2 linked regions of the Lepisosteus oculatus genome follow. Each later gene encodes a partner of the first gene's protein in a complex. Links are inferred from orthologs where the notes say so. Each region holds a gene or a part of one and is shown on either strand. Other genes may lie near its edges.

Region 1 (15,561 bases):
AATACATTAATATGATGGATGTATTTGCTAAAATGTTTTAGGAGTTTGCCAATCTGGTCTATCTTCACTAAGATTACATCACTAACTAAATACTTCATGTTTAGTAGCTGAAGCTGTAGTTAGGATGATTGTCCCTCATTCCACATTTAGTAGGACTGCCTAATAGAGTGGTTCATTGAGTGTCAATGTGGGATCAGGTTGCTCAAAAAACATCACTTAAGGAATTCAGACAAAAGTTACTTCCTAAAACTAAATTTAAAACATTAACTTTATGTAGACTGTATCAGCTTATTCTAGTCTTTTGACAAAGATCTATCCAGGGTCAAAAGCATTTACCGTTTACTAATAACAAATATACTAAATAGTAAATACATTTACTTATGATAAATATTAGTTTTATTAGATTATGTAAAAATGTTTAGAGAAACCACAGTATAGCCTATGTAGTTGTCTAATTCCCTTATTTTAGTTTTTTTTACACTTGCAATGTTCTGTATGATTAATTGTCACAGCAAATTGGAAATGTATTTGAAAGAGTTTAAGTGCAATGATTGCACTGATATCTTTATGAAATTTCAGCTGTGATCTGTACACATCAAGATCAACAGACACTTAAACATTCAGAAATGGCTGAAAAGCAATTTAAAAATAATGCTGAGATAATTTTGCAATCTTTTAATAGATATTTTGACAAACGATGGACTTTCTTTGGCCCTTGTGTTTTCCAGAGATATTAAGTGTTCAGTTAATGTAATACCACCTGTACTGCGTTACAGATAAAGTATAAACCAAAAGCATATGCACAGATTCAGTGAGAAGCCCTTCTGAAATGTTACAGGTTAAGACAATGGATAAGACTCCTCAGCAGGTCTCCTGCTGCTATGCAATACTTTTTCTTTCCGTTTTTGACATTTTATGGGCTTTACTTTTGTTCCTTTGGAGAGTTTAGTCATACGTTATATATAGAGATTTATGACAATATATGGGACAGTGTTTTTATATATGTTCTATCAGGAATAAGCAATAAATGGATACAGATGACTTTGGAATGTGAAGCCTTTTATGTTTTAATCCTGTGCTAAAGATAAGCCTATTATTAAGGTCTTAAAGTGCAATATATAAGTGTGGTATACAAATTGTTAAATTAAACAATGGCCTTGTGACCTCCATTCTATTTTTTTAAATAGGCAAGCTGATACTTCAGTAGGTATATACCTGATAATGTTTTTTGCTGTTAGAGTGTATAATATATACTTAACAAAGACACAGTCAGATACAAAAGTTATTGAACTTTTGCATAAGCTTTTCAAAATATGCACTATCCTGTGTATTAACTTGGGTCAAATTTATTTAATAGAATCAATTTCTGTATATAGGATTATCAAACAAAAAAATATAATTTGCACATTATACATTTTAATCATGCACACAAATAATGTATATAATTACAGCTGAATTATCTATTAAAAGTGAATAAATTAGTTGGGCAATTGACATACTGTATATTGAAAGGTGTCCACGCAGAAAAGCTGTAATAAGAAAAAATATTTTATTCTGAAAATGTCTAACTGGAATTTTGTTACATACTGTAGTTAGGTTTCTGAGTGGTGGCCACATGGGCCATGTTGGGGGAAAAAAAATATTTCTGATTATAAGTCACACCTCACTGAATAACTATGAAAGAGATGCTGGTGTTTAAACAGCTGTCACTCATGACTTGCTGGGCAAATTCCATCATAACCTGGTGATGCTCCATCATAAAATGAGCTGCAATAAAATGTTTACCAGCAGTCTTGAAGGCACTTGTCAAAATGTTGTTACTTGTCACAGCACCTTTTTATTGAATATGACACATTTAAAAAAAGTGCTTTGTATAGTATATCACAACTTATGGCTTTTTTAATTAGTGGACACTAGCTCAATAGATTAAGAGCATTTTAATATGATGGATGTATTTGCTATGTTCCTGTAGCTGGTGATATACATATTGTATAGCCATGCCAGGGTGCTTCCAAGTGTCTTGGAAGCAAATGTGTTTGGTTAAGAAATACTTGTGAAGTGGGGTGTCATGTATAACTATATATATTCAAATGTACACCTTATCTATACCCTGCAGCCCCTGACAACAAACATTGATGACACCAGTAGGGGATACCTAAAGTTCTGTGCTCTACCTCTTGCAAGTACTAGCAGAAGTAGACCACTGCACCTTTTATTCACTGTGCTTCAGTGATGAAGATGATAACATCTGTGCTCCAAGCACATTTCTAGTTGAAGGGAGAAATATGGTGCCTTGGTTAAAAGGCAAATCCTATAATTATTTAACTAAGTGTGCTGTGGGCTCCATACTCAGGGATATTCCACTGCAATATGCTTAATCTGTGGTCTCTCTGACTGGGAGACTTTTCGACTTTTTAAATTGATAGGCAAGGTCAAAATTTGTATGGTATTTGTAAAGGTTTTGTGCATAAATGCAACCTTTTAATCTCAAAATTCAAGATTTCTTAAGTTAAAGACTGTCTAAAAATATATTATACTATAACCAGATAAACGCAATCACAGCTGTGATTCACTGGCATATAACTTCAGATTTTGGGTGTACATCAGTGATTCGGATAACTCTTTGTGGCAACCTGGGCCGTTGAAGATCAGCCCCACCTAATGCACAGCATGCTTTGTGTGAACTGTACACACATTCAGTAAAGTGCTAGCACAGAAAATATGGATGCACAACATGTCAAACAAAATTAGCAACTAACAAACTTTAATTCTGTCTTGTCCAGAGGAAATGCAGCCCTACAACACCTCAATACCTCAAGCAACAATTCTGGAATATTGTTTCAACAAATTAAAAGGTAATAAACTATAAGCTTCCATATTGTAGCCTTTTGAGCTACTTGTTGAGTACGCTCTCATTTCTTTGTGTTGTTCTAGTACTGAAATGCCCCTTATTTCTATTTGGAGTAACTAGAACTGTAAATTTGCATCTACGTCTGGAATATTTGGTTTGTTAAAACTCAAGTATGATCCTCAGGAATTTTTCAACAATAAAATAGCAATTTATACAAACAGTCCTACACATGTGAAAAATATTAGGATAAAACATAAGCATTAACATTTTCGCTTCTTTTTTGTTAAAATTGAGTGATTTGTCAGTAAAAGCCAAATTGATACTTTTTTTAAATGTCTCAGCAATGCAAGCTTAGAGAGGCCTTAAGACTGGAATAACATCTAATAAAGCTATGTATTTACATTTATATTGCACACATTCTTATACAGTATTTCTTACAAGAACAGTCCTTACAATTCAATTTTTAAAACAGATATTTAATTGATCATTTATTTTCATACTCTAAAATAGTCACCCCTTTTGTCAATGGCAATGTGACTGGAGCAATACTCATATTCTCTTGCTCAATAATTCTAAAATTAGTTGATCATTGTAAAACACAGTGCAGTGGCTAAAGAGTGCAAAAAAACAAAGTAGAGCCCTACTTAATGACCTGTTTAATGAGACTGAAAACTAATTTTAGTCTGATAATTCTAATGGTTTCCAGTAATTCTACAAGCAAACTGATAATTACGTGGTAATGTCTCATTTCAGCAAAACAGACAAAAGGCTTGCTGATCTCCATCATTGAAGACAAAAATAGTCAAATGTTCAACCATGTGAAAATACTAAACATATAGAATTCAGAGACAAATTACACTCAGCATTTCATCTTATGCAAATGATTCTGGTGCATAAGAGATTCTGGCAGGCTACAAAAGGCACCAGATCAATGTCATGACTAAGGAAGAAAAGTAATGAGTTTTCAAAACAAGACCACCTACTGTGTCCAGTTTTCTGTGTTGTAATGTGAAACAAACTCACACACAAATGACTTGCGGGTATATATATTCCGTATTCCGTTTATCTTCCAGGCTGCTCTTCTGCTGTTCATTGTGAAATCCAGATGTTTTTAGTTTCAGTCCTGGTACTGTACAATATATAGAATGTCAGGAGAACTAGGGAATGAATTCCAGTCCAAAATCTCTTCCATAGTGTTCTCCAATAATGTTTTTACTGTTTCAGATACTACATAATATTTTTTTACGCCACATTAGAATAGAGTGGCAACAATTGGTGGATTAAGTAAGTTTCATTTATCTTCCCTTATATATGTAAATTGTAATTTCAGAAAGTAAAAACAGTTAAAAGGCCACTCATTCATGATTTATCTCAATAATGCATTTAGACAGCCAGAAATAATGGAAGTTGCATATATTGGGATCTAATGATTCTTATAGGAGTAGACTATCACTGTAGTTACAATGAAAATAACAAAGGTCCCTTGATAGTCAGGTCACACACTACATGAATCTATGTGCTAGTTTTCTACATAGTCGCGTACAGTATGTCTAACACCTAACACAAATACCTGAGCAGCAGTGTTGAACCAGAAAGGCCAATTATGATGACCTGGATTGTTTAAATTCACACACCCATATTCTTTATATGATGTAAAAACACAAAAATGGTTTATAACATTATAAAACATTATTTTTTACATTGTTTAGGCAATCCAGATTAAAACACAAAAAGCATGATGATTTTGTTAATGAAAAAATTGATATTTTTAAATTTACCCCAAAAATGTACTGAGTAAATGAGTTCTGCTTTACATTGCTTTATTAGTCCTGCTCTGTTTCAAAGCTCACTGCGGTCCTTTTAAACACAACATGTGTTTTTTATTTAGGAATATTCACATTGTATTGGATTTATGCACCATTTAGATGGACGTGCTTGAAATGTTGTAATATTAAAAAGCATTCTTTTAATCATGCTATATCAGTCCAATAAACAATGCATTCACAATCAAAATCTTGGCTTGGGGAGACACTCGCTCAGCCACCGCAACTTTTAGTGTTCATGTACTGTAACACTCCAAAGGCAATCAATATGATCAATTACAAAATAAAGTAATTGACAGAAGATCTTCTTTGAAAGCAAGTTAAGTTGCAGATTTGTATTATGAATCGGATGGCATTTAATATAGAACTCGGATATTCTTAAGAATAATTTAAGAAAAGTGCTAATGATAAAACAGTGACTGGAACATCAACTTACAGTAGAATAATGGCACCAGAACAAACAATGTACACTAGGACAGACAAACAATGGGCTCTTTTCAACAAAACAAACTGAATTCAATTGCCCTCCTGAGATGAATAAAGTATTTTGAACTGAATTGAACTGAAATAATTTCTTGAAACTGACAACCATAAAGTCCACGTGCCAGTCTTATGTCCCCTTTGGTCAAAAGCTGAAATGTATTCAGAATAGGGATAAATGTTTACATTGCATTGAGAAAGTGAGCTGCGCAATAAAGAAGTGCATGGAACAGTAAGGGTATGTGCTTGTCAGAATTGCATAATGTTACTGATGATAAGATCATCTTACCTCTCCTGACACTTGGCTATCCTTTGAATGATTTTTTTATGTTGGTGACTTTATACTGGATTGATGAGTTCTGCTTTCGGATTCAAAAATGTGGATAAAAGAACAAAAATAAATCTCTTCCTTGGAGAAACCTACAGTATATATACAGTATATAAGTGCAGTTAACAAAAATATATATTTGCAGGTACAAATTGGGAAAGGCCACCTATGAACAGGACATGTTTGATGTTTATCATATATCAATGATAATGTTTATCCTGCTGTATATTTTCTAGGCCACTCATTCTCAGTCCTAGCCTTGAAGGACCCCTGTGTCTACTGTTTTTTTGTTCCAACTATCTCTTAAACACCACTGCTTATTTCTTCCCCATTCATGCTTTCTTTTCTGAACTGAGGCCTCTAATTCAACATACCCTAGTACACTAGTTCTTGACCATGGTCCCATTGAGCTCATAATGACAGGTTAATTTATTTCAAATTTCTGTTTGAAGTCCTTTATTATTTTATTTCATTTCTTATTATGTGAAGAGACTTGTAATCCATACGAACCCCGTGTTAATTAGTTTCAAGACTGCCATGATTCAGGTGTGCTAGCTGAAATATAATCAGTCAGACCAAAAGCAGAAGGAAAAACACTGACTCAAAATCGGAGTTACAGTTTGTGATAAAATATAATTCCCACTTATGTATGACCAAGTTAATAAAATTCTTTGCATGGAAAATGTTGTAAATCATGAAATTTAACTTCAACTAGGGTAGTTCTGAAACAGAAAAGTTAAATCAACAAGTAGATCAGTTACAAGCATCGGTTAGCACAGGTAAATAAGGGCAGGCAAAATAAGTATACTTGAGAACTAGGATTGAGAACCACACTGTTCTAGACTATGTCTGAAAGCAATTACCAAATATAAAGTGTTTATAGTGAAAGGCTTAGAGCTGAAATCGAGAATGTTCAAATTATAGTAGTATATAGTTGTAAGACAGTGTTAAAATATTGTGTCCAGTTTTCTAGGCAATTTACTGGACTTAAAAGAACATCCTTCACTAACTAAAAGAACTGAACTTGTGAAATCTTAATCTTAACAAGTCTTAAAGCATTGTAAGTCTTAAAAGTGTACCTTTTTAATATAAATATAAATGAATGAAAAGTGTACCAATGACCAAATTATGCTTGTGAACCCAATACCCTAACAACTTCCAGGAAATGATTGGATGAGACCCATGTCAGATATTAAGTCTTAAATCTCTTTAGTGCACACCTGCACGTTGGACCACCAACTTCTTCCATCTTTGTCTCTCGACTGTTATAGTCTCCAGTTCCTTTCCTTCTACTTCAGCCCTTTCTAAATCACTGGAGATTGTCCCCTGCTTTGCTGTTCTGGATTTTGCATTTTGGTACCTGCATTTTCTGGCTTCCATCTGATGGCCCTATTTGACAAATAGTCTTTATCCATTCAGTTAACTAGCTAAAAGCTACTAAAAGAGCTAGATGGAGTGAATGGCCTTGGTTTCTAACTTGTTTTATTTGTGTCCATTTATGCATTTGTACATCCATCTAAGACACAATTTATGGAAACCCAGATTATGACATGCACTGCACCATTTAGACACTTGTACAGTGGCAATTATATCATCTGACGAAAAACATAGGCTCTCAAACAGCAGTCTGTGGGTTTCTGGCCAAATTGCACACGTTTGCCCATTTTTTCAAAATGGATCACAATATTTTTACATATTTTTAAGCAATACAAAATGTGCACCATATTGCAAAGTCATGATATTTTGAGAATCACCGAGTTCAAATAACACAAAAATGATGCTATCTTGCAATCTTCACAACACAGCTACTGGCACAAAAAGAGAAGTCAGGTTAACAGATTGCCCACACTTGCTGCTTCAGTATGTCATGACAGAATGGTATTACTTCTACTGTTTGCATTGTTGCAGTAAAACAAAGAGGAAAGGTTAGAGGTGTAACTGAAAGCATTCATTTGGTAAATGTTTTAATAGCTATGCAAATGAGGGACAGATTTAACAAGTCAATGCACAAGAAAGTTGCTCTGTTTTTAGCCTAATTTAAAATGTTTTTCCCTTTTCTGAGTACTTAAGTTTTTGTGTACGTTTTACGTATTGCCTATTTCCCGCTGATTTCAACAATAAGGTCAATTTGTTATAGTTTTAGAATGCTAATCTATTAATAATCATTTGGTTTAATGTATTAAAACATTTCCAGTGTAATTAAATAGTTTGAAATTGCTTGCATTTGTTTGCATTGAAGGTTTTCGGTACTTTTTAACATCCGCAGTTTTTTTTTTCTTCCTGCACATTTTTATTCAGTCGTTTTTATCAAGAAATACTACCACAAACACGCAGTACAATGCTTACCTTATCAATCAATAGTTTATCACTCCAACAATTGCAGTTTAGGAAACGCTCTTTATCAGCTTTTCTTTTTTTCTCCCATCCCGCACTTAGATGAACTCAGATGCAGCGATGGTTTAGTTCCTGAAACTTTCTAGTTTCCCTGGAAACCGAGGAGGAGCATGAACTCTCACCTCTGACTGCATCAAACAGAAATCAACATGGAGAACTAGGAAGTCACCACTGGTTTGTGCGGATCACATTGCACAATGACCTGAAATGATTTATACTGAGGATGCCAAACAACAAGACGTAATAATTGCGTACAGCTGTGTTACGATAACCGGACAATATGTTTAGATCTGTGGAAAAATGATTTGGAGGTAACAGGATCGGGGTTGTTTTATTTTTTGTCGGTGCAAAATCTGGATGGCAAGTGTATTAATTATACATGTCTTACTAAAAGATGAATGTGATTTATTTTATGTGTGATTTCGCTGTCAGAGTGTAAGGATGTCGTTAAAACATTTACTCCAAGCATTTGTTTATATCTACATTTAATTATAGATTTATTCTTCGTTTTAAATGTCATCCCAAACCAGAATATACTTAGAAAAGCACGGATTTCTGAGATAATCTTGTGATTGGGCCAGATGTGAAATATACTGTCGACTGCTGGAGAAACAGTTTTCCAACTTTTTTTTTATGTTAGGAGTATAGCCTAGATCTGTTACGTGAGAGTGCTTAATAAGAAATGACACTGTACACACTGGCATTTTGAAAGTTAGAGCCTAGTTATATCTGATTCACGTTCCAATGGCTTCGTACAGCTGTTGAGTATGGATTATGTAATCTTTTATCGATATGCATTGTAACGAACCATTTATAATGTTTTAATTTTGTTTTTTACCTTTTTGTGCCATCATTATCAAGCAGTTGACTCTTAAATAAAATTAAATAGATTTTTTTTAAAAAATTGAACAATGTCACTCGCAGAACAGTCCCAAAAGTGGTTTCCAACCCATGTACAAGCCACTGTACTACTAGCCAAAGACTTAATACCCAAAGGTAAAAATGGCTCCAATGATGCTTACACCATCATCCAGCTGGGCAAAGAGAAGTACTCTACATCTGTGGCTGAGAAGACTCTTAATCCAGTATGGAAAGAAGAAGCTTCCTTTGAGCTCCCTGGTTTGCTTCTTGAAGGCAACCCAGAAATCTATGAGCTGCACCTCATAGTAATGCATAGGTCTCTTGTGGGGATGGATAAATTCTTGGGACAGAAGGCCATCAACCTCAATGAAATCTTTGATAACAAGGAACGAAGAAAAACTGAGTAAGTGCTGCCACTACTTTGTACACAAGCATTTGTTTTGTTTTTTTCTCCGAAATGAAATACAGGTGCACAACTTAATTGAGGACAACCTGATTTCCAGAGAATGGTACTGTATGTATGGTAGGTGACAAGAATAAATTAAAATGTTGTCTTTGAAACCCATCCAACCATCCAGCCAAGTTCTTTAAGCTTTGAGACAGACAGGAGGCTTATGGAAATACAGTTTCATGAAAAATCGAATAAGTACAGTACAAGTTAATGAAAATAAATTTTCATTCATCGAATTGTCTATGTATTGGTATTTGATTTTCATTTATTTCACTGTGTGAGTGTCTAAGCAGATTGTAAGTGTGTTTTATATTGATCCGGGAGATGTGTTTGCAGTTGTCAAAAGCACAATTATTAATTCTCAAGCTTCTCTTTCAGGCATAAATTCCATTAGTAGTTCATTCTGTACTCTTGAGTCAAAAGCCAGGTGAATCTTTATTTGGTTTATTAGTCTTTACTCTTAACATTTTATTTCTGAATTTAGTGCCATAGTTGTAGGGACTGCCTTAATATGCGCAGCAGTTTTAGCCCCACAATGTTTGTGTACTCAGTGTTTGTACTATAGCTAAGTGAAGTGAAGGTTATTCTTCTTCCTGTGTGGGGGAGGAGGGCTTTCACCTTGCTTGCAGGAGAACTGTCTGTTGGGACCTCTCATTCCAGGAACTGCAGACTCGCCTGCTTCAGATCACCCAATTAGAATTTTGAGTGGTGATCTAAGAAAGCATGACCCGATTTCATATCAGCTACTCCCCTGCTTGAATTTACTGTGAGAAATTTGACCTCCACTTCAGCAGTGCTCATTTTCAAGTAACCTTGTTACGTCTCATGCAGTGTGATCCCCTGATTCAGAATCTCTGCTTACTATTTCTTACTGTAATGCATTCAGTTTCGTATTGTCCATTGCTGTTTACTGTAAGTAAACTTTTGCTTTAACAAAACTTTTTTTTATCCCCTTAAGATTATTTGAAGGAGAAGAGTGCTCTCTCTGATATAGGCATAAACTGGTATTGCATTAGTATTCCACAATAACATCTCTTTGCAATTTCAGTTGTGAATCCTCTATCAGTTGTGAAGACAAGTGTAACTAACTGTATTCAAGAATGCAAACAGATTTATAAAATCCACTGGTACAATGTTAATTTCACACCAGCAAACAACCTCTCTACAAACTAAAAAATAAAATTTTGCCCTTAGATTTTTGTGTAAGCAACTAAACTATTATTTAAGGTCAACACACTATTAAACAGCTCCCTTAGAAGAATCATGTAACAGACCTCCACTGATGTTCACTAATACATTTCCATCTGCTGGTGGTTTTACTAACCACTTTATAATGATCACATTGTGTGCAATCACAAGACTGAGTTTATCCAATTTTCATTCAGTATTAATATTCTGAGAATAAATATGATGGTGCCTCTAGTATTCACTTTTTTAAACTAAAGCTTTATTTACCATGGGTTTAACTCAATAAAATAGAAAGTTGATTCTCGGATTAAATGGCTGATGTGTGGTGGGCGTTCTGGCGCACTATGGCTGCCGTCACATCATCCAGGTGGATGCTGCACATTGGTGGTGGTGGTGGTGGAGGAGGGGAGTCCCCATTACCTGCAAAGCGCTTTGAGTGGAGTGTCCAGAAAAGCCCTATATAAGTATAAGCAATTATTATTAATTATTATAAATAGTTTAGGGTTCCTTTGGAACAGTTGAACAGTTCAATTTCCACTGAATGGTCCTCAAGGATCAGCGCTTCTTTAACTGAATAATGTATTTATTAAATTGGTCAACCACTTAGAACTGTTGCTATTTTTTTAAAAAAGCTCAGTGTGACCTATGTGATACAAACTGGTTTGGAGCTTTCCTGGACCAGGGAGTTGAGATTATTAATCTAAACTAACAAAGCCTTGCAGATAAGAGAAGAATTTGAAACGTGTATGAGGAAAGACATGCAATACTGTAAATTTAGAAGGAACTATTAATCCAATTTGTACAGTCTCCACTTTTTTATAGTGTGTCACCGCTAAAGCAGCAACACCAGCAATTGTGTCTATGCCTCATTTCTAAACTTGCTGAGTCTTCCTGAAAGGCTAACAGTTTCCTCATTGTGTAGTCAGGATTTAAATTGCTTTAATGTCATGATCAATAGATGGTTTAAATTATCCTTATTCTGTAGGCATCACAGTAACATTCCATACTGTGGGAGTTTATATTTTTAAAACTTGCTTCTTTGCAGCACAAATCAATAATTCTATAATAATAATTCCTTACACTTATATAGCGCTTTTCTGGACACTCCACCATAGCTTACAGGTAATGGGGACTCCCCTCCACCACCACCAAAGTGTGGCCCCTCCTGGAGGATGCAATGGCAGCCATAGTGCGCCAGTACACTCACCACACATCAGCTTTCAGTGGGGAGGAGATCAGAGTGATGAAGCCAATTCATAGATGGGGATTATTAGGAGGCCATGATTGGTAAAGTCCAATGGGAAATTTGGCCAGGACACTGGGGTTACAGCCCTATTCTTTGCGAGAAATTACCACAGAGAGTCAGGACCTCGAAGGATGGCGCCTACGGGTCACTATTCTGGGGAATTAGGACCCACACAGACCATAGGGTGAGCAACCCCTACTGGTCCCACTAACACCTCTTCCAGCAGCAACCTAAGCTTTCCCAGGAGGTCTCCCATTCAGGTACTGGCCAGCCTCACACTGGTGGATCTGACCAAACCTTCACTGTAATAAATTCATTATTTTTTAAATTAAACAAACAGAACCACATGTATATTTGACTAAATCCACCAAAATGAATGATGAGATTAACTGTAAAAAGTAGTTTTGAAAAGTAGCTGTGGTTATACAGTACACCTAAAATAATAGAAGACATATTTCTAAATTCATACCATTTAAATTCAGCAGCTTCCTGTATTGTTCTAGTTGGACCAGTTTTCCCACTTATAGGCTACACCCAGATGAAAAGCTGTTAGCCAAGTCCTTGAAAAAGCAATGTTTTATTCACCTTAACTAGATCTACAGCATCTTCAAGTAGATTCATATTTTGAAAAAAATGGCACTACAAGGTCCAGGTCTTTGTCTTTGTATGTAAAGTACAAAGGTTCTGATTTGTTTATTAATGGAGAATCTGTCACAGCTTTGTCAGTAGGCTCTATTGCCATTGATTTTCAAGGGTTATATTTAGAAGAAAGATGTGCCGGCAGAAATGCACAGTATGAGGAAGCTTTCATGCCATGAGTGTATTTGTTCATGCCTTTGGTCATTACTTTTGTCCCCGAAGTGCCTTAGGAGCTTAATTTAAACTGTATTGTAAATTGTTAAGGCATAATAATGGTTTGTTCAGAAGAAGGAGTTTGCCTGTTGATACTTTAAATTGTGCTATGTTGCAGCTCTTGATCACAATGAGCACTACACTATCTTCACCTCTCAACCTGTACTGTGTGCTTTTGTTTGTTGTGGTTTTGAGTATTGAAACGAATGAGCAAAGTTCATTTTAAAAGGGAAATGGAGTTATTTCATAGCATGGGCGCTAAAGTAAGACACAAGAGGACAATCTGGTATGAATGGCTGCTTCTCCATCTAGATGTTCAAGAGCCACAGCTCTTTGGTCAAATGAAAGAGTTTTGCCAATTGATATCAAAAAATGAAAAAAGAAATCATTTTGTAGAATACAGTTGTACTGTATTGTGTACTTTTTTTCTGACTGGCCAATGGATGTCTGTAGTGTTCTGCTTAAAGGGAGGCAGTCTGATTTGAACTGTGATTGCTGGTATGCTTTACTTCATATCCAAAAATCCAACATTATCTTCCAAGTGAATAAACCTAAGTTTGATGTGCATAATTCGTAGGTGTACCTATGTGTACTTCATGCAGATACAACAGTGATCAAATCTGTGGAGAGCTTTCTTAGCAAGTATCAGTGATAATTTACTGTGTGGGTTAAACTTTAGCTCAGGTCTCTCCTATAACTGTATAGAAACAGTGTATTAGCATATTATTAGTGTTGTTATAAACATAATTATTTTAACCTTTTAATAACCTTTGTATTTTAATTTTCTATATTTTAAATACATTTAGGAGAACTCTTGCAGAGGATTAATAGAGGAGAGCATAAAATATGGAACACCTAGTTTAGAAGTAAAACTGTAAAGTTGACAGCATTCAAGAGCAATAATGTTCTTTTCCTTTACTGATACTTTTTCTTTAGAAAATGACAGTATAATTTCTACAATTCTACTATGGTTAACATGTACAGACCTGGCAAAAGAGCAATGCTATTGTACCTTTGTGAATGTAGAGAATGTTTAAAAACAAACCACGCCTAATGCTGCAATTAAATGGTCTTAAGAGTGGTGATGCACAGTTGAAAGTGCTTTAAAATCATTGAGGGACACCCTTTTTTTCAGTTTAAGATGGATCACAAATCCAATTTAGTATACTACTGTATTTCCAACGAAAATTCTGATGAAACATAAATGAAGCTGATGAACCTAGCTAAGAGAGTAGACAGTAGATAGTAGAGGAACAAGTAATAGGTTTATTCCATGCTGAAAAAAAGGAGAGAGAAAACGCAACATTTCGGCCGTGGAGCCTTCTTCAGGTGTGCTAGGTGTCCTTCTTCAGGTGTGCACACCTGAAGAAGGCTCCATGACCGAAACGTTGAGTTTTCTCTCTCCTTTTTTTCAGCATGGAATAAACCTATTACTTTTTCCTTTGCAGCCTACGCATGGTGACGCAGCTACCCACCTGAACTAGTAGATAGTAGATATCTATCATTGGCTTGTATTGTGCTACCGTTGGACTAATTGGACTAGTTGTTTGCTTTCAAACAGCTAAAAGAACAATGTGTAGGAAATAGTAGGACTCATACTGTGGAAATTAATTGTTAGTACAGATCAGAAAAGGTGTCTTAGGAGCACTACAACCTGAGCTGAGCTTCTTTTAGTTTCTACATTTCATACAATTAGAATTGTAATCTACAGTAATACAGGTTTATAGATGTGATGGCAACCACCACACAAACACTTTCTGTGCAAAGAATATTTCACCTATTTGGCCGTGTTCTCAACAACATTGTGATGTCTTTTTAGTTTTATGATTAATGAGTTGGGAACACAGATACTGTAATTATGAGAATTATTCAAAGTGGAAAGTGTTATTATTTAAAAGAAAGTTTGAATACACTATAGTGTTAAAACTCACATGTACTCTATTTTATAAGCACACCCCCCCTTCAGTACAGTACAGCTCTCATAAATAATTTTGTGGGTGTCCTCGTATTCTTATAACTACAATGGTGTTAAGTTTCCCAGATGTTTAGTATCGGCTCTTGAGTCCATGCAGCTGGTAATGTAGACGTTTTTAGATTTTAGATTAAATTAAGATTTTACCTTGTGTGCATCATCCTAGAGGATATTGTATGTAACTGGGTTTTTAGTAAGATTCTTCTTCATTTTAAAGTAGTAATTAAAGAGTACTGATCCCTGTTCTGAACAGGAGAGTACAGCGGGTGCGTCCTCTGTCCATACAGAACCTCCAGAATTTACTTAAGGAAAGGAGATGGCATCTGTTTTGTTTTCAGGGGGACAGAGTGTAGATATGAATAGTCAGCTGCTCCCTGGGTGGATTAAACAGTACAAAATCAGTGCTTTTCTTTTGCTGTTGTTTGCATTAGTGCAATGAAAGGTAAGGGCCAGACAGCATTGGGCAGGTGGCCACCGAGTGTCATGGGAGCTTTCCTTGAGAGCTCTGCCCTCCATGACACTCCACTGTGCATGTCAGCCAAGTGCCATTGCTTTCATTCGACAAGCTGTGCAGGTTAGGAGGCATAGCTCTGATATCTGGACTGATGTCTGCAGGGGGTTAAAGCTTGTGTCTTGCCCTCCAAGACTGAGGAATTAGAAGACTTAGGCCCTTACCTATCAGAATCCAGATGTTTGCCTGAAGTTGATGTTAGACTTCAGAAGGGCTCTTTTGTGCATAAAGATAGATCCATTATAGCTACGCCTGCGAAGACAAACGCAACCAGTATTTCACATAGGCACTGGGGAAATTCAGTACAGAAACTGGAAAGCCGTGGTATTTTTCTAGGTCATGCTTGCCATTAGGGAGAAAAAATGTTTTTGTATAAAATGAGCTTGCCTCTGCAGTTCCAGTGGGAGAATTTTTCTAAAGGACATGAAATGGAAAGGAAAATTGGACTAATGTTTAAATATTAGAAAAAAGGTGTTTGTTAAAGCAGATATTTGTTCCTGAGTTTGCCTGAAGTCTCCACTGAGAAAGTATGCAGTAGCGGTTCTGTTTCTAAGGATGTTTCTGCCAGCAAATTTCAGCCAAAGTGCAAAGTTTCTTCATCTTT
Region 2 (15,708 bases), on another chromosome or scaffold:
AGTCAAATGCTCTACCACTGAGCTATACCCCCATAAAAAAGGAGACCCTTCCCTGACCGGGAATCGAACCCGGGCCGCAGCGGTGAGAGCGCCGAACCCTAACCACTAGACCAGCGGGGAGACGATGCTGCCTGGGGACCCCCGGAGCCTTATCTCTTCCCACTGCCAGTTTCTGAGTTTCTGAGTTCCTCTCCTCTGTGTCCGATGGTCAGTTACAGCTTTGCACAGTGGCTGTATCGCAGTATATGAGGTTTGGCCCGAGGCGTGATTATTGCTAGTTGAATACTAATGATGATGTATTGTGAGCAGTTTCCCCAAAGCCCAGGGCTGATATCCTGTTCTCTGGAACATCATGGTCGTCACGGTTATCCGAGTGAGCTAGCTGTGGTTCCCTGGGTCTGTTGTCATGGTAATCCAGGACTGCAGGGGAACCGGAGTCTATCCTGGTAATCAACGGGCGCAAAGCATCCCTGGGCGGGATGCCAGTCCATCACAGGGCAGATACACACTCGCACACAGAGCCAGTTCTTCCAATTAATCCACCAGCATGCCTTTTCACTGTGGGAGCAAACCACAGCACCTGGAGGAACATGCAAACTCCTCACAGACAGCACCCCCAGTACTATGAGGCAGGAGTGCTTACCTCCACAGCACCGTGCCTCCTACAGACTGTGCCTTCAACACTTACTTTGGAAACTCAGTGGAGCCAGCCTGGAATAAGAGGAGGGCTCCAGCAGTCCGTTAGAGACTTGATGATGGTGACTTTCCCTCTGCTCCTTTCCCCAGCCTGCTGAATAACGAAGGCTCCCTTCTGGCCTACTCCGGCTACGGGGACACAGATGCCCGCGTGACCGCCGCCATCGCCAGCAACATCTGGGCAGCGTACGACAAGAACGGGCACCAGGCCTTCAACGAGGACAAGCTGAAGTTCATCCTCATGGACTGCATGGTGAGCCGCTGCACTTCCCCGCGTCCCCACCAGGGGTCGACTGTTCCACTCCTCCAGTGCTTCGGCAGACTGCTTACTGCTGCAAGGAGTCAGAGTGGACCAACCACGAACACTGACCACAGGCAGTCTAGAGGACTATAGCATCATCACCTCTCAGTAGTTCAAGTGGGGAGCTGCGTCAGCATGCGTAGTCTGCAAAGGAACAAGTAATCGTTTATTCCAGGCTGAGAAGAAAGGAAACACAAGTTTCCCACTGTGGACCCGAAGAAGGCTCCACCGTGGAAACGTGTTTCTTTTCTTCTCTTTTCAGCATGGAATAAACCTTTACTTGTTCCTCATCACCTCTTAGCCCTCTTTTCTGAGATATCGGAAGCTGATCAAGGCCGAACCTGGACTGCACTGGCATGGGAGGACTGCAGGAATAGCAGTTTGCTAGTGTAAGCGGTGTTGGTAGTAGGTGGTGCTTTTCTCCCTGGGACAGGATTTCCAAGACAGTGTCTCAGCATAGTGACGGGGGGCGCTGTGCTGTAGGACAGGGGCTCCCAGTCCTGCTCCTGGTGGACCACATACCCGATGATTTCTGTTCCCAGCCGAGCCCTCAGTTCCACAGCTGAACTCTTAATGGATGTATTAATATCGATTCATTCATTTTTATATTTAGATTTAATTTGACTGGTTTCAGCTCTAAACATTTTGGAGGTTACGTTTTAACTACTGTACCGCATTTCGTAAGTAAAATCCCCAACTTTTGAGTAGGAAACTCAATGGCAAATAATCAGATCGCTCAGGTAAGTTGTTAGTACAGTGGAGGGTTGAGTGCAGGAGCTACGCTGGGCTGCCGTGGGTGTGTGGGTCTCCAGCAGCTGAGCTTTGAAGCCCTACTCTTCGGATGAGACTTTAAACCTCGTTCTTCACCGCTTGATCTTTCAAGTTCTCTCGCCACTGTTGGAAGAGTAGGTTAGTCTACACATTAGTCTTGGGCCTTGGGCCTGGCGCAGCCTGACCTGCATAAAGCCCCCTGGTGAAGGGTGAACTGATGAAGCTGTTTCCCACTTTCCCATCTGATCTGCTGTGCCATGGAGTTTGTGGCGCACAGTGCAAGTTGTGTCTGGCACCATAGTGGTAGATGAGGTGACGTCTGTCTTGTATATTAAGTGCTTTGGGGTGAAAAGCACTGTAAAACGCTATTAATTCATTTTTCTAGGCTTAAGGAAAGCAATTTACAATTGAGCTGGACTTCAGAATCCCAAAAGGCTTTGATAAACCTCACCTAGAGGTCTTCTCTTGAAGGAGGGGTAAAACGTTGGGGACTCAAGTAGAAGATAGGGTTAAGTGCATTTAGGACCTGTGTCTGTGTTTGTGCTTTACACTAAGAGTAAGTGGGTGAGTGGGGCAAAGTGCCTGGCCACATTCTTAAAGCTGAATTCTTGGGATCCTTCAGTCCTTGAATCCATAATCTTCTGAAAGTTCAACAAGCAGAGTGTGGCTTCATTTTATTTTTAACCTCTCTTGTATTGTTATAATCTTTTCCCAGTAATCATCTTTTTCACGCTTGTGAGCTTATACATGTGTTATAACATGAAAACTAACCAGCTGCCAGGAGAGAGATCCTGACCTTAGATTTATTGTTTGTCATTTATTTTCAGAACCAGTCAGTGCGAAGCAGTTTTTTCATGTGAGAGTTATCACCCAAGGAAACCTATTCTGAGTCACCATAGTCTCTGAAAATCTTAAGTCTTACATTTATTTGTTACTTATGTTTTATTACTTTTATGAACATACAAAGGTAATCAAAAATAAATGTAAAAAGTTGCAAAACATCAACTATTACAAACATAAATGAGTATAAAGTCTGTTATTTATCATTCTTTTCCATTTTGTCAGGGGAGATAGTGCAGGGGAAAGATGAGGGTGGAGAAAAAAGAACTTCCAGAAACAGAAAAACATTATCATTAGGTCATATAAATAATCCACCTCTCCCAGTATCTCTCCTTCTCCAGAGACCTCCTTCTGGAGTTTTAACTGGTAGGTTAATTTTTCCATTTCAGCTTAAGTGTTGAATTTAATGCAGAAATAAATAGTCAGAGCAGCTACTTCCTTGTGTGACTCATATCACCGAGGCTGATGCCTGCTGGCTAGCGAGGCTGCCGTGGAAGATGGGAAGGGCTCTTGGAGAGGGATCTGTGTTGATACTGATACTCTGGAGCTCGAGAGATCGAATCCTGGCTGGGGGGCAGACTTCACATATGACACGAGCATGTGCACATCCCCAAGGCAGCTGGTGTTTCAGTGGGGCCTTTTTACAGGAAATCACCAGGCGCTGGGATGGTGATTCCAGGGCGAACGGAAACAGAGATGATAGAGATTCAGTATTGGATCCATTTTTTTTTTCCTCTCCCAAGTTACATGACAGAATCCCCCCCCCCCAAAAAATACCGAGCTCTGGTGACGTGTTTCAGAGCCGGGGCTGGTGCGTCTGGTGCTCGGTCTGCAAGAGGCTCAGGTCTTGTTCCCTTGTGTCTTGTAGGAGGGCCGAGTGGCCATCACCCGTGTGGCCAACCTGCTGCTGTGCATGTACGCCAAGGAGACGGTGGGCTTCGGGATGCTGAAAGCCAAGGTCAGTGCTGCCACGTTCTTACGGGCATTTCGTGGGGCTCATCTGCCAAAAGGTGGTGCCTTGATTGGAGATCACGGGTTCGAATCCGGGCTGTGGCACAGGCCAACTGTTGCTGGGAGCTCCCGGAGTGAGGGGGGGGGTGCAGGCGTGGCACAGCTGGCCTGAGTTGAGTGGAGGCCTGAACAGGGGGTCGCTGACGACCCCACGTGGGTAATCCTCACTGGCGCGCACCGGCCGCCGTCAGAGGAGGGCCCCTTCGGGCTCGGGGCGCAACCTGAGACCAGCGGCTCCGAGCGAGGCGGGTCTCTCCCTCTGACGGCGAGACTGGGCTGGCGAGGTGCCTTTCAGTTGAGCAGGTAGACTCGTTTCGCCAGCCACCGGACTCCCAGGATTCTAATGAATAAATAAGGAAAAGGCACTCTTATGCGATTTCCAAATTAAGATCTAATGCAGGGGATTCACGTTTAGTCTGAAGAGAGATTCTGTATTCTCCCCCCCTCCCATAAGACTGCATGTTCAGGGTGGTTGTGCAGAAGGAGACTGTGGCTCTGGGCTCAAACCTGCGGAGCTGAGAGAACGAGACAGTGAGATGTGCGCTCACCAGACAAAGTACTACTGCTGCATGACATGCAAAAGCACAGCAGGGGCAGCATGGCTGCTGTACTAGGAGGTTCTGAAATATTTTCCCTCTCCTGCTCCTCAAGCATTCTCGTCTTCCACCTGGGGTTGCAGTCTGAGGTTTAATAAGGTGTGGGATGGAAGCCTGTTTTCAGCAGGGTAGAGATGGAGGTGTGTTTTCCAGAGACGTCGGTCTGGAGCTCCCCAAGCCAGCCGTGTGCTGACACCTGCTTGGTGTGGAGCTCGTGCAGAATGCTATGGTGCATTTAGGTTTGCAGAAGTCTTTTGATCAACTTCCTCATCAAAGATGAATTCTCAAATGGCGGACAGTAGGACCTCAGGGAAACAAAAGTGTTCAGATTGAAATTACCTCGTAAACAGAAAACAGGGTAGTAATAAGGGATGAACAAGGGTGATGTAATGTTCTTCCTCAGGAGATATACTAGGACCACTGCTCTTCTTAACCCATATCCATGAGCCAGGATCCTATATCATTAGTAAACTAATCACATTTGCACATGATACCAAATAAGGGGGATTGGCACACCCCACAGGATCAGCACCTGAAATCCAAAAAGAGATAAACAGTGTTGATAAAATTCAAAACGTGGTGATCACTTGGCTACACTAACAGGTGTCATGTGGAGAAGTGCAGGGTTTTGCATGCAGGTAGTAAAAACAAAATACAGGTATAAAATGGGAAACACTGAGCTATTAGAGGCTACAAATGGAAAAAAAAGACTCAGGTGTTTATGTTGATGCATCATTTGCCTTAGGAGAAATTAAGAAGGTAAACAAAACATTAGGATATAGTCTGGATTACAATACAGAATTTAAATGTGGGTGGGGGGTGTTAGGCTGAATAATGTATAGTCCATTAGCAAGGCCTACTTAGAATAATATGTACATTATTGGTTAACATGCTGTAGAAAAGATGTTGCTGCTCTGAAATCCATCCATAGAGAGCAACTCCAAGGTATATGGGGATGTCCTACACCTACAGGCTGAGATAACTAAACACTCTTCAGTCCTGAGCAGAGACCCCCATAACAAGCATTCAGGACCCTCAAAGTCAGCCCCGAGGCCAGAACAGGGCTGTGTCAATAGGAGCCGAGCTGTTGAGGGTGATACACTGGCTTCCTCCAAGGAATTGCCTAATGACATCCTTGGCTTAATTATCTACTGACCTCCAAAGGGGCAAGATGAGCAGAATGTTCTTCTCTTATTTGTAACCTTCTTAGAGTGCTGATGTTTTGGGGGTGTAGTTCTCCAGGTGTCCAGCAGGTGGCATGGACATTTAGTTTTTTTTCTTGTACTCACAGGCTGGTGTTAGCGCCTGAACAGCTCAGTTCTTCATTTTGAAGCAGAGCCGAGCCTGGCAGTAATGAATCAGCGTCAAGTGTCTTGCATTGACTCATGACGGTCTTGGCTTCTCAGAAACAAGATGAGGTTCCGCCAGCTCTGATCCTGGAAAGGACTGTGAGGTCACGTTAGCTTTGAGGGAAGCCCTGGTGTGTAAATCCACAGATTTCTCACAGATTTGAAGCCTTTTTTTCTTCTCCAGCAGGCCAAGCTACAAAGCATTTAAATTTGCTGCCTAGTTTTTTTTAATATGAAAGAAGGTAGACATTTAGCCAGCATCCATATCACTCTGCAACTCCCAGCTGGCAGCCCCACTGAAGCTCAGCAGGTGTGAGCCTGATCAGTACCTGGATGGAGACCTCCTGGGAAAAACTAAGTCTGCTGCTGGAAGAGGTGTTAGTGGGGCCAGTAGGGGGCGCTCACCCTGCGGTCCATGTGGGTCCTAATGCCCCAGTATAGTGACGGGGACACTATACTGTAAACAGGCGCCGTCCTTCGGATGAGACATAAAACGGAGGTCCTGACTCTCTGTGGTCATTAAAAATCCCAGGGTGTTTCTCGAAAAGAGTAGGGGTGTAACCCCGGTGTCCTGGACAAATTTCCCATTGGCCCTTACCAATCATGGCCTCCTAATAATCCCCATCTCTGAACTGGCTTCATCACTCTGCTCTCCTCCCCACTGAGAGCTGGTGTGTGGGGAGCGTTCTGGCGCGCTATGGCTGCCGTCACATCATCCAGGTGGGGCTGCACACTGGTGGTGGTGGAGGGGATCCCCATTACCTGTAAAGTGCTTTGAGTGGAGTGTCCAGAAAAGCGCTATATAAGTGTAAGCTATTATTATTATTATTATTATTATTATTATTATTATTATTATTATTATATATATCTTTTAGGATTTAACCACTATACAGATGCAGATAATGATTAAAACTGGAGATGCGGATTGCTGTTCAATGCTTAAACATTTTGCTGCTTAGTTACTGTTAAGTGCTTGCCACCATCTGTACAAAATAATCCTTGGCCATTGTGCTGGTTTTAAGAGGAGTGGGTTTCTGTGCATTTTTGAAACTTGATGGAAACTGACTGTGCTTTTCCTTCTCTTGAAAGAACATTTTTCTTATTTCATTAGTTGTTATTGTTTTTCTGCACACTTTGGTGGTCTTCTAGTTGGTTGCTTGAATGTGGAAGTAAAAACAATATATTAAGGTCAGCAAAGGTAATGCTTAAAGTAACAGTAAGCTACATTTTTTGCCTAGGCTGAAGCTCTGGTTCAGTACTTGGAGGAACCTTTAACCCAAGTGGCTGCGTCATGAACACTGGGGAAGAAAATGACTGTGACACCGATTCCTGGATTTCCTGTCTGAAGTCTCTGGAAGGAAACTGGCCAAGGAGCAACTTTCTGTTGGACTCTTTCAGGGATGGTTTCCAAAACTAAGGCTGTCTTGATCCATAAGGCAGCACTATCCTGAAGCATTTATCTGTATATAGCATTGATTTCAACTGTGCATGTGTTTAGATCCTGTTTAAAAGTCATTCTGTGCAGAACATTGTTTTAATCAAAGAATCTGTAATACCACCTCTGTGAAATCTGTAAACAACAAAATGAAAGAAGTTTCTTGCTGTCGATACACCAGATTTTTCCTTTATTGTCAAACATTGGCTCTTGCAAAGCAAATGTAATGAACAGTGTGGGTGTGCCTTGATGCCTTGGTTTTGAGCTTGCATCAGATTATTTTCAGTTTGCAGTGCACTTGGAGACAGAAATACAAATCTGCTTGTTTTCGGTGATACATGACTCCTTGGCTTCAGTCCCCTTTGCTCAGCCCTGTACCCTGGGCATGGAGATCAGAGAATGTTTCTTTGTACTGCCCAGCTGTGAACTCCATATCTGTGAAGTATTACAGTCCTGCTCCATTTACCTTACATTGGGCTGTTTGCAGTTTGCAGGAGGTTGTCCAGTGGTCCATTAGCTCAGGAAGGTGTGAATGCACAAGGCCTGGATGCAGCAGTGTGACAGAAGGAGCCAGGGACAGCAAGGCCCAGCCTGTCTAGAAACTTTATGAGTGTTTGATTTTGCTGTATTACACAATCTATGGAGAAGGACTCCTCTCCTGGTAAAAGGAGTCTTTTATTGTGTTTGGGTCTTTTTTTAAAATATACTGTCTTTTATTAGATTTATTCCCTAGTAGTTAAAGGGTGAGGTACAGAGCTGCTGGCTTCTTGACAATCACTAGGGGGGTTAGAGAAGTAGGGGTAGCAATCACAGTGCTGAAGGTATTTTGTCATCAGAATGTTTCATGTGCCTTCATGTTAGCAGGTTGGATCAAGGTGTTAAAGGTAGGAAAAACTGTACCAGCTCCCCTGAATATTCCTGGTAGACAAACAGCCCCCTGCCGTCGGCGTCCTGTGAAGCTGGTGCCCACCTGTCCGGCCGAGACTTCAGCAGGGCGTTGAGCGCGAGGGGGCGGGGCCGAGCTCACACTCCCAGCCGCCAGGATCTCCCTGGGGGGGCCGGATGGCCGGCCTTATTACCAAGCCGCAGCGGCTGATCGGGTTAATGATTACAGCCCGAGAGCGGCGAAAGGAAGGGAGGGGCTGGAGCCGAGAAAGCTGCCGCTCTCCTTCACTGATTGCAGGTTCATTTTTGGAAGGCGGAGGGGGAGTGTCTTTCGTGGTGGTCCGTTGGCTGGAGAAAGTGAGAAAGTACAAAACGAGAGGTCCTCCCAATGTCAGCCCTGTGGTGATTCAGTACCAGGGTGGGGGGTGGAGGCCAGGCTGCCTCTACCTGTTCTACCTGCTTCCCGGACACGCCCACCGTCAGCTGTGAGCGCAGCCGCCAGGTCCTTGTGCAAACACAGCACTGACTCCTGCGCCCAGGGAGAGAGAGTGGCGGCCGCGGTGATCTCGACCACCTGGACTTGCTCAGGCAGGGTACTGCATTCCGGACTCGGATCTCTCCCAGAGGGGAAAGGGAGAGCAGGAGAACGGGGGCGGGGGAGGTGCTGGAGGACGGTACCTTTTCCACCTTTTCTCCCTGACCCGTTCGGCAGGGACGCTCACGGGCCCGACGAGACGGCAGCAGGTGAGCCGCCAGCATGGGGACAGACGAAGACTATAACTTTGTGTTTAAAGGTAAGGCTCTTGCTCTTAACAAACAGCCGCCTGTGTAAGGTGTTTGGGGCTGCAGAGGGGGGGCTGGATCGCTATGGGGGCCCCACGGGCCTGGGGGGGGGGGGGCAGAAGCCAGCCCGCTTCAGGCCTGCGGTAGTTCTCTGGTGAGCCGTCGGACAAGGTAGGAAGCAATGCATGGGTATCAGGCTCGAATGCAAGCAGCAGCTCCCTGCACTTCTAGCCCATTACACATTCCTTGAGTGATCTGTCTCGGATACAGATCGTGCCTGCGCCTGCTGATTCTGCATTGATCTGGTGCTGGGGCCAGTTGTCTCTTTTTGCACGGGGGGGGCCCCGTGAGTCACTCAGCTGCACGTCATGGTGCGACAATGCACAAGGCAGATGCGCTGTCCATGTACAGAGCGTCCATAGTGGTGGAGGCTGCATGTGGGAAGGCGAACATTTTCCCAGTGTTGGTCTGGGCGGTGACTGACTGCATTTTCACTCCCTCCCCCGAAATCGACCTGCTGCCATGTCAGCCCAGCCAGGGATGTTTACAGAGCCGATGAGTCAACTTTTTGTTTTTCTGCTGTAGCAACGCACGGTCTTGCGGAAGGATTGGCGCGGGTATGTCTGGGAGCTGCAAATGGACAGAGTCACGAGCCGCAGGGACTCGGAAAGCAGGGGAAAAGCTTGAGCTCCCTTTGATCTGACACGCACACTCTCCGTTTGTTGGCCACGAAGAGCGTGTGGCCTAGATCGAGCTGCATCTTGTTCACTTGAACCAATCACATCTCGATCCAAACTACTGTTAGGGCTCCTGAGTCTTATTCAATGTGGCATGTGCCCCTGCTGTACGGTTCAGACTAGACCAAATTTCCCCCTGGCCTTTACCAGTTATACCTCCCATCTCTGAACTGGCTTCATCACTCTGCTCTCCTCCCCACTGAGTGAGCGGACTGGCGCATCATCCAGGTGGGGCTGCACACTGGTGGTGGTGGAGGGGAGTCCCCATTACCTGTACAGCGCTTTGAGTGGAGTGTCCAGAAAAGCGCTATATAAGTGTATATTATTTATAAGGAAAGATGTGGGTCAGACTCCTTGTTGGCCTTGTCATGCAAAGTCTGATCTAGGTCACCATGTGTACGAGGTTGTTAGGTCATGGCTGTAGAGGGATTGTGAGGAGAAGAAACAAGTGTGATATATTTGCTATGTGTGAGGGCTTTAAAACACAGTTGAATGTGGAGAGAGAAAGGCTGTTACTAGTGGTAACAATCAACCAGTTCATCTCACAATGAAATATGGTCACTTTGTCAACAACATACAATGATACTGTGCAGCAGTGGAGCTAAAATCCACATGGACCACGCAGGGTCCCGTAGATCAATATGTAAAGTATCTCTTTTTTTAACTGGTTTTAAAATGGATCTTTTTTTGCTGTACAGCGAAGTTCACTGCTTATGCATCCTGTGTTGTGCATCTCAGAGCATTCCAAATACCATTAGGGAAAAAAAAACAGTTTTTTTTAAATATGCCTTCATACTAGTATTTGACTGAAGAAACAGATTAGAAACTGCAGGAAAGTTTACAGCGTGAAGTCTCATGTGATATTATTGTCACCAAATCCTTGCTGTGCTGAGGGAGAGTGGAAGTCTCTGGAGCTCTCCTGTTTGTGATTCACCTAACACAGTGCATCACTCTGCCCAATGGCTGACAAATCTGAGCCCAGCCCTGCATATTAAAGTTAGTGGGCAGCATTGCTGCTGCTTCACAGCTCTGGGGCCCTGGGTTCATTTCCTGGGATGCTGTCTGCACGGAGTTTGCATGTTGTCCCCGCATTCGCATGGGATTTCTCCGGGTGCTCCCGTTTCCGGTAAGGAAATTCGTTTTTTATACCAAGAGCTGTGGTTGTCTGGATCAAGCCTCCCAGCCAGGGCCTGAAGTCCGTACTCTTGACTCCTTGAAGAAGCAGCGAAATGAAATTTTAATATTGCTTGTCTGCTAAACCTCCAGTCGAAAGACTTTTGGGGCATGGGGGACGATATTCCTCGTTCTGGAATGAGGGTGGAAGGCCGCAATTGCCCAGACAGCTCTCTGAAATGCACAGACATGGCTAAAGCTGGCCTCGTGTTTCTGTGCGTTTCATCCCTCCTCACAATGTTCTTTCCCGGCTGTCTGAGGTTTTCACTCACTTTTTCTAAAGTTTGTTTCGAACCCCACAGAGCCATCAGTGCCTGTGCGTACTTCATCGTGATCATTGCAAATACGGCGGTGAGAATGGTTATAATTGAGAGCAGGTAACTTGGTTCATTTAGCTCATTTATTTTTTCAATAGCCAATTGATCTGAGGATCCCACCCCGCCATTTCTGAAGGAAGCCAGGGTATCAGTCTCTACGAAACAACTGGGCAGTGAGTTCCACACCCCCACTGAGCTTTGTGTAGAGAAGTGCCGCCTGTTCTCAGTGATAATTGTGCTTCCACTTCATTTCCGCTGGTGCCCCTGGTTAGTGTAGATGTTCTATCAAGAGGGTAGAATAAACAAAATAAAACAGAAATACAGGAAAGGTACATAACATGACCCTAATCTCAAACAAAAGACTACATGCGATATGATTTCACGCAGTGATTTAAGGAGAATGTTTTCATGAGAATTCATACTGTTCCACCAGGTATTCAGATAGATGGGGACTGCCTCTTAGTCTGGAGCTTTTTCAATCTAAAAGTCCAAAAGTGTTTCATTCGTGAATCCATTGAGAGGCAGCTGGAAGATCCTGGTGGTTCCATTTATCCATATTTTAGTAGCGGCCATTTGTCAAACTCAGACGCTTCCATTCAGTTCCATAACGTCACCTAAAAAAGCTGATACTGGGCTCATGTTTAAGACCTTGTTCTAATACGTTGCTTAAGATATTTCTAGCTACCATTTCCTTTAATTGAAACAGGTGACGGTCACAGAGCCCTCTTTGCTGAGCTTTGATTTCCTGGAGTTTAGATTCAGTTCCTCCTGTGCGTCCAGCCCTTGTTCATGAAAGCAAGCTATTGTTCTGTAGCAGCCCTTACCCCTCAGAGCCTAGTCTACTTCTCTTCTCCTCTGTGACATCACTTCCTCTTCTGCATGCTGAGGTCATAGTCTCTACCACTGGGCTCTGTTTGACGCCTGGTTCAGGAGATGCCACACTGGGGCCTGTTTTTAATTGTTAAAGGGACAAGATCCATATCTCTTCCTCTTGTATGTGAAACAAAAATTGAGAATCTGAAAAGACCAGAGACAGCCAATTGTGAGAAACCTGAACCAAACTCAGGGATCTCTGTCAGATTCACAAAGAGAAACCTGTCACGTACCCAAGGGAATCTATCACTTCAGGTCACCTTATAAAACCGTAGCAAGCTCACAATCGCAGTCTGTGGACCATTACCTGAAGCATAACACATCCAGGCAGGTCATAAAAATTCCTTCAGCCTGTTTTTTCACTCTGGGTTAAAAATAAACCTGTCTGGGAGCTCTGGAAACTGGGAGCTTTCATTTAGGCCTAAAGCAAGCTGCAATCTGAATTCCATTGTACAATTCCTGTTAGGAGTAAGTGAGTACTGTGCTTCTCACCCCTGTGGTACAAACTGGTTGTATTCGCACCCTGTAGGCACGGTGCAAACGAACATTTGTTGTGCAGATCTGCCTCTTCATAAGTCCACCTGACTTTTAACCCTCCCCCCCATAAAGATTAAGTTAAAATAGTTAAAATAAATAAAAAAGTTAAAATAAATGAGCAGCTGAGCAGATTTCGAGAGGACCTTAACTGAACATAGTGTACCGTACTGACAAAATCAACCCAGAGCACCAATTCATCACAAACCAGCCTAGAAAAGCCATAATTAAAGGCCTCATAAGCTCCTAAGAATAATATTTCTTTCGTTTTCTTACTGATGAGAATTGAAATTGATTTGATTATTTTCCAGAAGTCTGGACTCGGGGCTACAATTTAAAATAATGTACTGTAAACGAAAACGCAAGTCTGTCAATTTGGAGGCTACTGTATATTCGCTGAATGGACTAAGTCCCATCGTAGAATGTGACTTTGTGATCTCTAGCATGGATACAGCAGATCCACTTGCGCTGCCATTTGGACAAATCTACGCTCTTGGTCATTAAAATATGTGATAGGAGCAGTCTGTACACAGGGCTCGTGCAGCAGCTCCAGATACTGGATCTTTTAACAGCCACTGTACCCAGTCCCTGGTGCTCAGGGCTTGCTCTGCTATGCAATGGGCGTCTCACAGCCACGCCTTGCAACTGTGCTGTGCTTGATCTGTCCAACAGGCACGGCCGATCAGACGTGAGACTGCTAGTGTGGGCCTGCCTGTTATTGGGAAAGGTCTGCGGATTAGAAAAAACGGATAAGCAGGGTGAGGTGTCTTTCTATTGACCGACAGCAGCCCAGCCCAAAACTGCAGGATGTCACATTACAAATAAATAATAGTCCACCGCCTGCAATGTATTATTCTACACAAAACAAGTAGCCGAGGAGCCAAACTACAAACTACTACTGTGGACGACACTGAGCTTGAAGAAGCTGCTCATGAAAGAGGTTATGTTGACACATGTTGTAAAATGACATTTTATAGGGAATGGGAGGAAGCAATAAAAAAGGAAAAAAGAGCATTAAGTTTAAAATGTAAAGAGCATTTTAAAAACGCTGTTTTAAAATTGTACAATGATGTGAGAGGCTCATACCTGAAGCCTGAAGTCCACATAGCAGGAAACAGAACATAGAGAGAGTGACTCCCCTCACCCAGGAGGGGCTGGGAAAGAGATCTCTGGCCCCCAGGAGGCATTATTCAGACTCTTTAGGGGTACTTAACAAGGGTACTCCATACAGTGCATCACACAGGGAGGTGTGCAGGTATTAAGGTCAACAAAAAGGCAAAATGCTCAAATCTGAATGGAATCACCATTCCATACTTAATTCCATTTTGTAATGGCCTGCTCGCTGGGGTGTCTAAATCCACATCAAACAAACACCAGTATGTCCAGAATTCGGCAGCCAGAATCCTGACCAGGTCGTGTTCAAGTGATCGCATTACTCCTGTCCTGGAGTCCTTGCACTGGCTTCCTGTCAGGTTTCGTGTCAACTTCAAAATTCTCACCTACAAGGCTCTGCATGGCTTGGCACCTCAGTACCTGTCTGAGTCACTATCACCCTACTCCCCACCTCACAACCTTCTCTCTTCTATCTCTGGTCTCCTATCTGTCACCCAAGCCTGCCTACACTCTGTGGGTGACAGGGCCTTCTCTTGTTCTCCTGCTCCAAAGCTCTGCAACTCTATCCCCAAGGATATCAGAGTCACCTTCCCTGAGCTCCTTCAGATCAAGACTCAAAACCTTCTTCTCCAGAAGGGCTTTTATTTAACTGGCTGTCTGCTGCCCCTTTGCTTTCCTACTGTATTCCAAATTCTCACTGTAACTGTGCAATTCTGCTTCTCCTCTCATTGTGTGCTCATTGTTTCTTACTGTAAACTGCTTGATAAAGCCATTTTAGAGGCAATGTATATAATTGTTTATTTTTAACATATTATTATGATTATTTACATGTGGTGATACTGAATGCCTGACAATTACACATGCTGCTAAACTAACACGCTACCCCCCCGACAGACAGACTCTTTATTTCTGTTCGGATACCTGCTCCCAGAACTGGCACGGAGAATGGGTACAACGTGTTTTTTCAATAGGCATCTGTGTGGAAAGATGGGTATTATTTTTCCTGAATGTAGGAGAACTGCATCCACATACCAGCTGAGTGCTCTTGCTGTTTAGATAAGATGCAATTTCAATATACTTTGCATCGCCCAGCACGCGTGCTCAAAGCTCTCTTTCCGTCCTCGGATACAGTGTTGAATTACCGGGATTTGTCCTCAGGGAAGCGTTGGTCAGGAACACTAAAATCCCATTTTTATAGGACATGGCTGTCTGTGTCCACCAGCCCCACAGTCCAAGGAAAAGTCCTGCAATTCCTGTTTCCAAACATGCCCTAAAGTTGGAAATTTGGTTGCGGTGTGGGAACGACAAGACCAGATTTTGTGTTTTGGAAGTGATCCTGTTTTGTGCTGATTTGTGTGTAGCTGCATGTAAATTATTTAAGAACATTGGGTAAAAAAAATCTCTTTATCTATTACTCATTCAGCATCTCTTTTGACTACCTGTTAATTAATTGAGATGCAGTCATCCAGCATTACCCAAGCCTGCTGGAAAGGTAAGTACTGTATTGGGGTATCCAGAAGGTTGCAAGGGAGGGGCTATTCAGCTGAAGTCATCTCGCTTTCCTGCCAGTAGGTGATTGATTCGGGAAAAATCAGCTTGAACAACATAAACTGGGCGGCTTTTTTAAGACACCCAGCACTGTTTGGATAAAGATGCACCTCCGTTTGTCACTCCAAAATGCCACCTGCTTGAGTTCAAACCAGTCTGGTAACTCCTTGGGTCCAATCTGCTCGTTGTGACTTCTGTTAAGGCAGATATTTGGGATTGTTCTTACGAAATTGACCAGGTTTCCGAAAGCAGTTGCTACAATAAGTTTCATTCTGTTCACGCCTCTGCTGATTAGCTCGCCCACAGTGGGAGTTGGAGACAGTAGGAAATTCTGTGCTGGGAGTGTCTTGGAATGTTGCAACTTTGTCAAGACTGTGTGGAGGCTCTGAGAACTGGGTGGATCTGGGGTGCAACTGAAAACAAAGCAGACACTCCTGCAGTGATAGTCTCCAGAACATTCACAGCTCAAACTATACTATTGTTCACTTCCTACCTGAAAAACCGAACAGCCAAATCTGTAACCAGGGCAGCAAAGAATGATGGGATTTGTAGTTAAAGTTCAGTCAAGAATTTAAAAGAAGTGTTGTTTGTTAAAACTGTTATACATTGAGGGGCAATGGCACAGAGGTCAGCATTGCTGCCTCACAGCACTGGGACCCTGGGTTCAATTCCAGACCTGGGTTGCTGTCTGTGTGGAGTTTGCATGTTCTCCCTGCATTCGTGTGGGTTTCCTGTGGGGGCTCCAG

What was found.
Region 2: the proteins of rab11 family-interacting protein 2 (region 1) and rab25b are in contact, whole or in part, in a crystal structure (PDB 3TSO), measured with the Homo sapiens proteins. The link is inferred for Lepisosteus oculatus from reciprocal best matches to the Homo sapiens genes RAB11FIP2 and RAB25. Residues at the interface, in NP_055719.1 of Homo sapiens: Arg475, Glu478, Ile481, Asp482, Asn483, Leu485, Val486, Met489, Pro493, Ser494, Leu496, Arg497, Val498, Pro499; in NP_065120.2 of Homo sapiens: Arg34, Ile45, Gly46, Val47, Glu48, Phe49, Ser50, Thr51, Lys62, Trp66, Arg73, Arg75, Ala76, Ile77, Ala80, Tyr81.

What each region holds. Positions count from the first base shown.
Region 1 is NC_090699.1:32,575,223-32,590,783, reverse strand, and holds the start of rab11 family-interacting protein 2, read left to right. Parts: upstream 1-8,021; 5' UTR 8,022-8,787; coding exon 8,788-9,140; intron 9,141-15,561. UniProt on the Homo sapiens protein: A Rab11 effector binding preferentially phosphatidylinositol 3,4,5-trisphosphate (PtdInsP3) and phosphatidic acid (PA) and acting in the regulation of the transport of vesicles from the endosomal recycling compartment (ERC) to the plasma membrane.
Region 2 is NC_090722.1:3,028,088-3,043,795, forward strand, and holds the start of rab25b (ras-related protein Rab-25b), read left to right. Parts: upstream 1-8,227; 5' UTR 8,228-8,641; coding exon 8,642-8,678; intron 8,679-15,708. Other genes in the region: ragulator complex protein LAMTOR2, read left to right, coding at 787-949, 3,477-3,566, 6,803-6,859. UniProt on the Homo sapiens protein: The small GTPases Rab are key regulators of intracellular membrane trafficking, from the formation of transport vesicles to their fusion with membranes.